Linked DNA regions of Neodiprion lecontei. The protein of the gene in region 2 interacts with the protein of the main gene of each other region in a pairwise test. Links are inferred from orthologs where the notes say so. Each region holds a gene or a part of one and is shown on either strand. Other genes may lie near its edges.

What was found.
Region 1: the proteins of protein mothers against dpp (region 2) and thioredoxin, mitochondrial interact in a two-hybrid assay, tested with the Drosophila melanogaster proteins (2 studies listed by BioGRID). The link is inferred for Neodiprion lecontei from reciprocal best matches to the Drosophila melanogaster genes Mad and CG8993.

What each region holds. Positions count from the first base shown.
Region 1 is NC_060264.1:29,027,987-29,031,525, reverse strand, and holds thioredoxin, mitochondrial, read left to right. Parts: upstream 1-1,611; 5' UTR 1,612-1,740; intron 1,741-1,871; 5' UTR 1,872-1,879; coding exon 1,880-2,049; intron 2,050-2,469; coding exon 2,470-2,593; intron 2,594-2,692; coding exon 2,693-2,812; 3' UTR 2,813-2,997; downstream 2,998-3,539. Other genes in the region: adenosine 3'-phospho 5'-phosphosulfate transporter 2, read left to right, coding at 166-522, 612-956; uncharacterized protein C7orf50 homolog, read right to left, coding at 3,176-3,463.
Region 2 is NC_060262.1:38,138,918-38,146,934, reverse strand, and holds the start of protein mothers against dpp, read left to right. Parts: upstream 1-1,974; 5' UTR 1,975-2,844; intron 2,845-3,038; exon of another isoform or gene 3,039-3,041; 5' UTR 3,042-3,245; intron 3,246-6,537; 5' UTR 6,538-6,639; coding exon 6,640-7,886; intron 7,887-7,998; coding exon 7,999-8,017. Other genes in the region: stress-induced-phosphoprotein 1, read left to right, coding at 1-30.

The sequences.
Region 1 (3,539 bases), on a different chromosome or scaffold from region 2:
TTATGATAATAGTAACTCTTTTTTCAGTGAAATATTGTATCAAATGTTTTATCGAATATTGGCATATTTGACTATTTTTTGAGAGAAATAATCATCTAACAATTTTGTGATTGCAAAGCAAATAACAATTAACTTTATAAAACGTTTGTGAATTATGTCCTTTAGGTGATATTCAAATGCTGCAAGCTAGTCCCAGTCCTAATAGGCAGTATCTTGATACAGGGCAAAAAATACGGCCCCTTGGATTTTCTCGCTGCAATTCTGATGTGCATAGGCTTAGCGCTCTTCACAGTTGCCGACAGTATAATTTCCCCTCGATTCGATCCAGTCGGCATCATGATGATCAGTTGCGCCCTGTTATGTGATGCGGCTATAGGAAACATTCAGGAGAAGGCCATGCGCGAGCACAAGGCGTCGAACACTGAGGTTGTCCTATTCTCATACAGCATTGGATTCGTCTACTTATTCCTGATACTGTTGACAATATCCGACCTACAGACGGGTGCTTCTTTCTGTGCCGAGGTAAAAAAACATTCAACCCAATTTAAAGATTGTTGTGGATGTTGTTACTCTTTTTGGTTCATTTTTATATATATTATTACTTGTTTCAGCATCCTATTGAAACGTATGGACTTGGCCTGCTCTTTTCACTGTCCGGTTACTTGGGTATACAGATTGTTTTGACTCTGGTCCAATGCTGCGGAGCATTCGTTGCAGCAACTGTTACGACATGCAGAAAAGCGATATCGATTTTGATTAGCTTTATGTTCTTTTACAAACCATTCACCTTCCAATATGTGTGGTCTGGCCTGATCGTCGTTCTTGGAATCTACTTGAATATTTACAGCAAGAAACGAGGAGGGACTAAAGGTGGCTTTAGAGAATTATGGATAGGACTTAAGCAGTGTTGGATTAAGCACAACCGAATACAAAGACGATTACTGACTAATGTTTAATATTCCTACCAGTAACGAGGCAAACAAAGTTTTTTGTTCCTATTATGAATTATAATTATTATTGCTCAGTCAAATTATTTTTACTTTTTTCAATTCCTTGCTTCTCCAAATTCCTGCAAATCCGAAGACTCGATTAAAGTAGATTATTTTATTTATTAGAGATTACAAGACCAGCTATATATAGGTATATATGTGTGTGTGTGTGTGCGTGTGTATATATATATATATATATATAAGCTAAGATTTCAGTAATTTCCAGAGAAATAATTCCGGTATTATCAAGAATGAAAATGGAATGGAAAAGAAAATTTCGAAGTCCGTGTTTCGTATTTAGTATGTGATTTATAAGAATATTCGGAACCCCAAGTTAGCAAGCGGACGGTTGCGGCCTCACCCGTCTTCCCGCCACCCTGCCGCTCGTTGGATGATAAAAAATCTCGAACTATTCCACGTGCTTACATAATCAAATTTCAATAAGAATATAACTTATAGATATACAATTAAAATAAAAACAAATGTTCAAGTAACAAAATTCTATAGATATACCTAAATATTAATGAACAAATTAAGGAAAATATTTATTCCAGGACGGCGTACTTCTCGATTATTTGTTTAATCTAAAGCTTCTTTTTTTTTTAAATTAACAGTAGAATTTCCTCCAAACTTCAAAAATGGTTACGTAAGAAATTACTTTATTTTCACGATGGCGAAATGTTGGTAGCAGTGTCAGGGATCCAACCCGCAAATCGCATTATTCATCGTTCAGATTCAATCAAGAACTCAGGTGATTTGATGCGTCTCGTAGACAAATACCGATACATTTCAAATTACTCGATAGAATACTTGGCAGCGATCACCTGCCATTATCAATTAATCGCATACTAAGTTGATCGTCACATCATATTTTATTTCTAGGCTAAAACATGCTACGCGGTGGAACCAGGATCTTGTGTAACGCTGTCAAACGAGGCTTTGCAAATGCTCCGGCTCAAGAACCCGCCGTTCAGGCTGCTTTCACTGTTCAAGATCCAAAGGATTTCAACGACCGCGTTAAGAACTCGAAAATCCCGGTGATCATCGACTTCTTCGCGACGTAAGTCCCTCAGGACAGTCTCATGTCTTCCCTGGGTTTTAGGTTATGGAAGCATTAAAAATCAAGGTCGTTTAAACCTTGAGAGTCTAGAAATCAGGGAATTCGACTAAGAATCTAAAACTCGTGATCTAGGAAACTCAAATTAACTGCTGTCTAAAGAATTATTTCCTGATTACATGTCAAATTCAATTTGTTGATTCGTAGCGCAATCAAAATTTCCTTGTGATACTCTGAGAATAATTCCAACATCACCTAATCGTGTTATGTTGGATATAATTATTGCCACATCATATATGCAGTTGATTTTAAAATTGTATGGAGCTTAAGTTTTTGGTTAAGAAGAAACCTCTGAGAGTGCAACAGTTGCAAACCAAAATGCACTTCATATCAACTCACTTATTTCAATTTGTTTTTGAACAGATGGTGTAATCCGTGCCGAATGCTGACACCCAGATTAGAATCTGTAATTGCCGAAAAGCAAGGAAAAATTGTACTGGCCAAAGTTGATATTGACGAAAACACCGATCTTGCCTTGGACTACGAGGTTTGGTCAAGTTTTTACCTCAATGTATTTATTTACACTAGTTTGAAGCGATGAATTATACTCATACGTTTTGCTATCACCCGCTCAAAAAAAAAATAGGTTGAATCCGTCCCGGTCCTCATTGCTATGAAGGATGGTAAGGTTCTGGAGAGAATAGTTGGACTTCAAGATACGGATAAACTACGACAGTTCGTCAATAAGTATGCTGATGCAAAATAATCATCATTAATAAATGCGTAAATTCTTTTAAACCGTAGTCCTTAAAAATGCTCTGGCTTTTCATATGACTAAATGTAATTAGCTATTGTAAACAATGTATATGAATTTATTTAATGATTATACACATCAACATTATATGTTACGTTATTAAAAGAAAAGGAAAAAAGAATAAACTATCGCAACTAGATTTTCACTCACATTCACTCACTCATTACCGATAAAAATAAATATGTGTGAAATTAGGTAGTCAAAAAAATTACGTCACTGCTATCAATATCTGGTATAAAAAAAATTTACCAAATAGTATAAGAGCCCCCATAGGCCTAAAAGTTTCAATAAAAAGTAAAAATCTTGTATCATCTTTCAAGCCTCTGTGGGGAGTGCTTGAAGGATTTGTCTAGCTCTCAGGTATTCCGAAGTGGCTGTAGCCTCAGTTTCATCTTTATTGCTGGCCACCTGTTCCTCGACTTTCTTTACTACTTGCATCATTTTTTTAACTAGCTGTTGCCTTGCCATTCCTTTGCAACCTTCAAAATATTCCAAAGCTATAGGAAATATCGAGTCTGGCACTGAATTGTGATCGAGCAAATGGTCCATCAGCCATATCTGTCTTAGTTTTTCAAACTTCCAGTCGCTCTTCGCATGCTTCCACTGTAAGTTAAATTAAGTTCTATAGGAACATTAAGGGGCTGCCCTGGTCGATTTCGACGACGATATATATATATAT
Region 2 (8,017 bases):
CTTGAATCCGGACTTGTAGCAATACATTGAAAAAGACAGGGGAATGGAACAGCCAACAATATCTATAAGAATTTACCAGCTGTACCCGCCTTAGAAGATAACAACGTAATACAATATAACATTCTATCATCGCTGTGTTCCTTCATTACGATGAAGACGGCTTTACATTTAGTTAATGATACGTTAATTTTACAATTTTTATCGTATTCTACATACAATTGGGTGAATGAGGTTTTCGACTCCAGCGAGTGCTTGCCTTTGCTGTTTTGTCTATTATATTGTATTGTGATGCGATTTGCTAGTCAAATCGGTCAAATACCTTTTCTCGATTTTTCAGAAAAATCTGCAAATACGAATTACGAATTTCCCAATGTCTGAAATTGGGCAAGTTTTTTGTATCGGTAAATAATTGAGCTAAAAGGAATAATAAATATTGTCGCATTGTACTTTACTACGAATAGTTTTATTTACTATATTGCTAAATTCGTTCCAAAGTTTACATATTTCCGTGTATAAATTATGTACCCCAAGATGGTACCATGCTGTCTATAAATTGTAATTTTACTTATCTCTTTCAAGTATTCCTGTATTTATTTTATTATTCTTTTCAACCTCGTTGCATAATTTTTCGTCTTCTCCACGTAAACTCGCAAGTGGTAGACTTTTTATATGTTGATGGGTATGCATACAAGCAATCTATCGGGTGACGACTAACCAAATGATGAGTAAGGATATTACAGGAAAGAGAAAAGGAAAAAATAAATAAATACTAATTATGTGAAAAACGGAAAATATACTATGAAATAGTTCATAACGTATCTAATAATAAAAATAAGACAAAAAAATTTTAATTTACTAGCCCATGAAGGCAAGTTCTGTAACGCATACGCTACATTTGGCATTAACATCCGATTCCTCCATCACCTGAATACATGTTGCGAGGGGAGACAAAAAGTGTCGTGTTTCAAGATAATCGAGGAATCAGGTGTAAATACCAGGTGATCTTTCCAAATTTTAACATGAAACTTCAACAGGAAAAGCCATCATATTCATCGTCGTACGTAGCCATTTTTTTTTTTTTTTTTTTTTAGGCAAATATTGATTGCGATACTTTATCTTGAATTGTGCTGAAAAGTAAAGTACAACCGCTTATTATTTATTCCAATAAAGATAATAAATATAAATACATAATGTAAACATACTACATGCATATATAACAACATTATCTATATCTATTGATAATTAAAATATTGTATACACATATTTGTTCTTATTATGCCTCTGATCTTGTAAATGCGTTGCATTGTGTTGTCAAAATATAGCATAGGCAAAAATAGCATGCAATTGCCAAAAATAAATGCAGAAATTGCGTTCTCTTTGCAGAGTTGATCTTACGGTATGACGTCCCATTTCGGAGTTTCGGGGGACTCCGTTAGTGCAGCAAGGCGAGCGATAAGGCCCTGAATACCTTATCATCATCTTTACATACATGCCCTACCAATTGGAATCATCCTGAAACGCCGTCGATGAATTTACAAAACAAGGTCAGCCCGACCGAGATAAAACAGTGGTTTCTTGCATGCCTAAAACGTGCGGAAACGTTTTGCGAGCATGGCAATTTCCTCTTCGACTCAAAATATCAGTCCTTGACCGAAGGCTATCAAAGACGGTTACCCTAATGGGGTATTCGTGCGATGATGGGATTGCGTGTTGAACGCCTCCCGCCGATAAAGAAGCTACCGTATCGTTTTAAACACGGCTTCTCAACGCCTCAGGCCCACTTACCTGCCGATCAATGGTCACGAAAATATGCCCCTGGGATAACAGTCTAAGTTTTTTCGTCAACCTCGTAATTATCAGCGACGTTGAACACCCAGAGAATGCCTACATAAATCAATCGAACCAGTCAATCAGTTTCCCGTTTCACAACGGAGTCGCCAGACATCGTCGAGATCCGCGAACGACTAGCTGCTGCAGCTGCTGCAGTAGCTGCAGTAGCTGAATGCGGTTTGCGGGGAGGGTCTGAAGCAAGCGCAACCCGTGCGGATATTCGATTAGCCAGAGAAGAGCCGAATGAGATGTGAAAAGGGGGGATTCGATCGCGTTGTAATGAGAATTGGTGCGAGCGCGGCGCACACGCGATTGTCGAGTGACGTGCGTCGGCGGTGCGCGCGTGTCGTCGACCGTTGGGTTAGTGGTTGGGATCGCCTCTGTTCTCGGTCACCGGGGGCGCCGGTAGCTCTGGCTATGGCTCTGCCTGTTTGAGCCTTCGAGCAGCGGCGGCGGCAGCATCAGCAGGCAGTCGAGGCAGTGACGCGCGTCGCCCGTAAACACGGCCGCCATAATGCTATGCGACATCATGGACGGTGGTGTGTAAACATTAGTGACAAATAACGTGCTCAAAAATGTGAATCGTTTCCCGAACTTCCGTTTCAGCAACGCGGGTGTTTAATCGTGCGTGTCGGCCAGTACTCCACAGCGCGCACCAGTCTCGCCGAACTCGGCCAGCAATTACGACCGTCGTCTTGCTCGATACCGCGGGTTAATCTTGTGCTTGTGCCCCTCGCGAGCCTGCTAGCCTCGCGAGGAGTAGTCGGTTCGTTCCTTCGACCGAGAGAGCCTAGCGCCGTCCACTGCATGCATGCCCACATTGGCGTGGGGCAGCGGCGACTGATTTCACACAATATCGGCCAGTCTGACGGACGGGGAGCGAATTCCGCCGATAGCCGAGGCGCATCGTATCGCCTACCTGCCTCGCTCGATCCGCACGAGAGTTTAGATCGATTCCGGGGGATTATCGAGCCTGCGTCGATCCTCGTTACGAAATACACGCATATACACGAAGTGAGTGATTTTATTCCCCGGCGTTGTTTTGTTTCGCATCCTTCTTTTTTCTATTTTTTTGTTTGATTCTTCTCATTTCAATATTACTTTACCTTCGCCGCAACTTACTTAACTTTGCGTTTACTTTTGCAATTTTTCTCACTATTCGCTTCTTCTTACATTCTTCTTCTTTTTATTTTCAATCGCCCTTAAAGCAGGGGATCGTCGGATCCTGAGGAGAACGTTGGGAGATTTACGCTACGAGTAACCGCCAACAAACAACAAACGCTCGCCGCACGCACTCTGACTCGTTGCAATTGACAGTGACGTATCTTTACTCGAGGTGCTTCTCGGAACCCCGTCCTTTCGCCAACTTAATCGTCGAAGGAGAAAAACCAGCAACTCGCATTCGCGGAGAGAACGTGAGTAAATGTTACATGTCACGAATTGCCACACAACTCGATTCATTCATACATTCATTCTCTTACGTAGAATATTCCACAGGGTTGTCGTTGTTGTTGTTGTTTTTTTTATCTTTTTTTTCTTTCTTTCTCCGTCGAAGTGTAAATTTATTTCAATTTTTCGTCCCAACAAGTTTCTAAGTGCTATCACTTTCACCCTGCAACGTATATAATATGTATCCGAACAATGAAACGATGCAAATTACATTGGTATACATCTCGAAACTAATTACCGATTTCCGAATGCTAAGAACAAATATCCACGTCCCTCGAATCGGATAATTCCAATATGAATTTTAAAGCCTGTCACTTGTTTTTTCAATTTGTGTCTTACGCTTTTTCATGTTTATTTATTCTCGCTGACCAAATCTTTTACCTCCGAGATCTGACCGTCTTGACCCACGATTTCACCCTGCACGCGGTACAGATTAGGTATGGAATAATTAATTGATTAACCAATTAAGAAACAGTTTCTTTTTCTGTGATTCGATAATTTTATTGTTTACTTTTCAATTTTCACACACGTACCGAAGTATACACGCGAACAACTCGTTACCGCGATTTATCAAACGTACACAACATCCGTGTAATTGGTTTTTTTATAATACGTAAAATTAAATTTCTTTATCGTTCGCAACAGTCTGCCACTATTATATGTACATTACATGTATAAGTATGTATAATTTACAGAACAGCGAGAGAGGGAGAGAAAGAGAAAAAGAGACTCGCGCGACGGATCAAAGAGGGGTGAGGGTAGGGCGGCGATCGCAATAATAATAGAATAAATAAAGAAATTCGATTGAAAGAAATATTCTCGGAACTGTAGTGCCGCTCTGCTCTGCTCTGCCACTTGCCCCGGGTAGTGATTATATATATATAAAATATATATATATGCATATACACTTACACACGTATGCATATACATATATGTACCGTGGTGGTGCAGCAATGGAGAAGGAAGGAAGGAAAAACTGATCGACGAACACGTGTTAATTCGTATACGAAAGCAGCGGGAGTTCGTTTTCAAGTCTCATTTAAGCCGCGTTGTATTACACGCAATAGGGTTCAGACCCCATAGCTCTATGGCGTAAAGTTACGGGGGCGACAAGCGAGTCGTTTCTATCACTTTCGCGTTTTTGTTTTGGTTTTTTTTTATTTATTTTTTTGTTTCATTCAAAGAAGATTGCATTTGCAACCGTGCGACGCGCTCTGTATCGAAATTCCTACAGGTATCCATTGACGAATCGCCGTTCGTAGATATACAGAGTTTGGGATTTCTTTTGCTCTATATTTCGAACGATCGGTCGAATTATTATAGTCGCAACATCCTGTCCGCGTGTAATAATAATACCAGGTGGGTGAGAGAGAAAAAATTCTTGCAGGCGTGAGTCGTCTGGCGCAGTTTTGCGAAAATTTTTCATTTCAGTACAATTTGTTGGAAAGTTGCAAAGCAATATGATGCGTCGAAGGTGAACAGTCGTGTTCTACGTAACGGCACGGCCGAAACTCTGAATGACCGAACGTAATGAATGACGTACGTGTACATGTATTTATACGTTTGTACATATACGCATGCGTTTGTTAATTTCTTTTTCTTTTCTCGTATTATGTTTTATCAATATATTCTTATTATTGCCCATTTATCATCGTCATTTGATTTCGTTGAAGTGCTCGGCAAGTGCAATGACTCACTGTAAGCGGAAAAACGGCAACTGATAGGAAGGGTGAACGAGCACGTTGCTACGCCCGCCCCTTGCCCGCCAACCTTATACTCTACTCTACTCTCTTATTATACGCTCCTCTAACACACTGCGCGTGTAATTTCGCGCCGTTTTTTTTACTACCGCGCCACGTCAGTTACTCTATTCATGTACGTATGTACGTACATAAGTTCCTCTTACGCATATTACACGTAACACGAACACGCGCGGAAAGGCGCACGCGTATCTATCCAACGCTTTGCATTAAACCCTGTTTCATTAAATTCTGCGTATAAAATATAGTGGATTCTGCAGACCGCGCGGTGCTACGCGGAGTACGCAAACGGCGCGCAGAGCGTAAGATCCATACTTTGAACCTCCACGAAATTACGTACTTCAATTGGAACGTGTAAAACATATAATGTATATAATTCTAATTTGGTGTAAAGAATAAAAATAGATCACAGGTGGATCAAAAGTTTATCACCGCGTCGGGGAAAGAAAAAAATCTATTATTCTTACCGCCGACTATATAATTGTTTAATTATAGGCTACTTTTCTCTTTGGGTATATAATCACGTTAAAAATCCGTTGTAAAATTTTTATTTCAAATCCTTCAAAACCAGTTTCTTCAATTCTACGGATCGCCACTAAATTGCGGACAACTTTTGGTAAATATGTACTGCACATTCTACGATCTTTTTCGGGTGTTCGGTTTGCAATGTAAATATTACACATATCACGCAAATATATTTATATGAATATATGTATTTATTTGTAAAAGAAATGCTGACGGTTAGCCAAATGATTAATCACGATCGCCTGCAGATGTTTACTCAACTGCGTCACCAAAAAACACTCATATAATATGAGACAATAGAGCACTCATAGACTATTATTATTATTATTATTATTACTATCATCTGTGAACGAATCGAACGGTAGATATTTGAAAAAATTGCCAGGTCTTCGGAGTTACGAGAATCTTAATTAACGGCTTGCCAACATAATGCGCTGGAGACACAATGAATAACCATCGAGGTATCGAGTGTTCGCAGAAACTTTGAAATTCAGGCATTCGTTCAACCTGTTCCGCAGGGTTTCATTACCTGAGAACGCTCGACGACCCTTCTTCCACCTGACTGACCCGTAACTAATTTGAACCCTGCAATCCCCATCAGCTGGCTATTGTTTTTCCGTAGTTCAAATATTTTTGCAAGATCGTGTCAACCAATGAATTGAATTGTAGTATTTTATGAACAGACGATGATTATAGATGAACACATATTAGAGTTAAGAAATTATCTTTCAACCGAATATGTGACTGATGTAAACAAAATTTATTTGTTTCGTGACGCTTAAACTAAACATATAAAATCTAACCGCGGTGATTTATGTCCAACTTCGATATCTCTAAAACTGGTATCGTGGCGGATTATGGAGGAAAGATGAAAAAATTCTGTTAATTTCTCTAAAGAATTTTTATACCAACGAACAATGCACCAGCAATCGAATTGAACAAAAAAAAAATAAAAATTCCGTTTCGTTTTCAGGTGGAAGGTGGAGACGGACGAGGTCTTAATACTCGCGAACAGGATTCAAACCCCGGAATCGACGACCGTTTTGAAAATATTCTGAGCCAGTAATAAATCGCGATGGACGACGAGGAGGGTTCGTCGAGTTCGGGTCCGATGTCGTCCCTGAACAGTTTGTTCTCGTTCACGAGTCCGGCGGTAAAGAAACTGCTGGGATGGAAGCAGGGCGACGAGGAGGAAAAGTGGGCCGAGAAGGCGGTCGACTCGCTTGTGAAAAAACTGAAGAAACGAAAGGGCGCGATCGAGGAACTCGAGCGAGCTCTGAGCTGCCCTGGGACGCCGAGCAAGTGTGTGACGATACCTCGGAGCCTGGACGGTCGGCTCCAAGTCTCGCACCGGAAGGGTCTGCCGCACGTAATCTACTGTCGCGTGTGGCGGTGGCCGGATCTTCAGTCGCACCACGAGCTCAAGCCCCTCGAGCTCTGCCAGTACCCCTTCTCGGCGAAGCAGAAGGAGGTCTGCATCAACCCGTACCACTACAAACGCGTCGAGAGTCCGGTTCTCCCGCCCGTTCTGGTCCCCCGACACTCCGAGTTTGCCCCGGGCCACTCGCTCCTTCCCTTCCAGCAGCTTCCGGAGCCGACAATGCCGCACAACGTCTCCTACTCGTCGAGCGGCTTCAACTCGGGGACAGGCGTCGGCGTGAACCCGACGTCCCCGCTCTCCTCCGTCGGCTCGGTGCCCAGTCCGGGCAGCACGACATCGCCGAACCCGCAGAGCCCTTACGGTAGTAACGGCCTGCCGGAAACACCACCGCCGGCTTATTCCCCTCCGGAAGACGGCTCGCAACACGGACAGTCGCCGCCTCCTGACGCCACGGCGATGGATACGGGTGGCTCCGCCGAGGTAGCACCCGTTTCGTACCAGGAGCCACCCTATTGGGCATCGATAGCCTACTACGAGCTGAACTGCAGAGTCGGGGAGGTCTTCCACTGCCAGTCGCACTCCGTTATCGTCGACGGATTCACCAATCCCAGTAACAATTCGGATCGGTTTTGCCTTGGGCAGTTGTCGAATGTAAACAGAAATTCGACCATAGAGAACACCAGGAGGCACATAGGAAAGGGGGTTCACCTCTACTACGTAGGCGGTGAGGTGTACGCCGAGTGTCTATCCGATTCGGCCATTTTTGTACAGTCCAGGAATTGTAATCACCATCACGGATTTCATCCCAGCACCGTATGCAAAATACCACCAGGATGCTCGTTGAAGATATTCAACAATCAGGAGTTCGCGCAGCTACTCTCGCAAAGCGTTAATCACGGATTTGAGGCCGTCTACGAGTTGACCAAAATGTGCACTATTAGGTGGGCCGAGAAGACCTGTTCTACCTATTTTGTCTTTATTAGTAGCAGAGAAAACCCCACTTTCAATAATTCCAGTCGAGCTCACAATCTCAACTTGAATTCTTATTTTTAGGATGTCTTTCGTCAAGGGT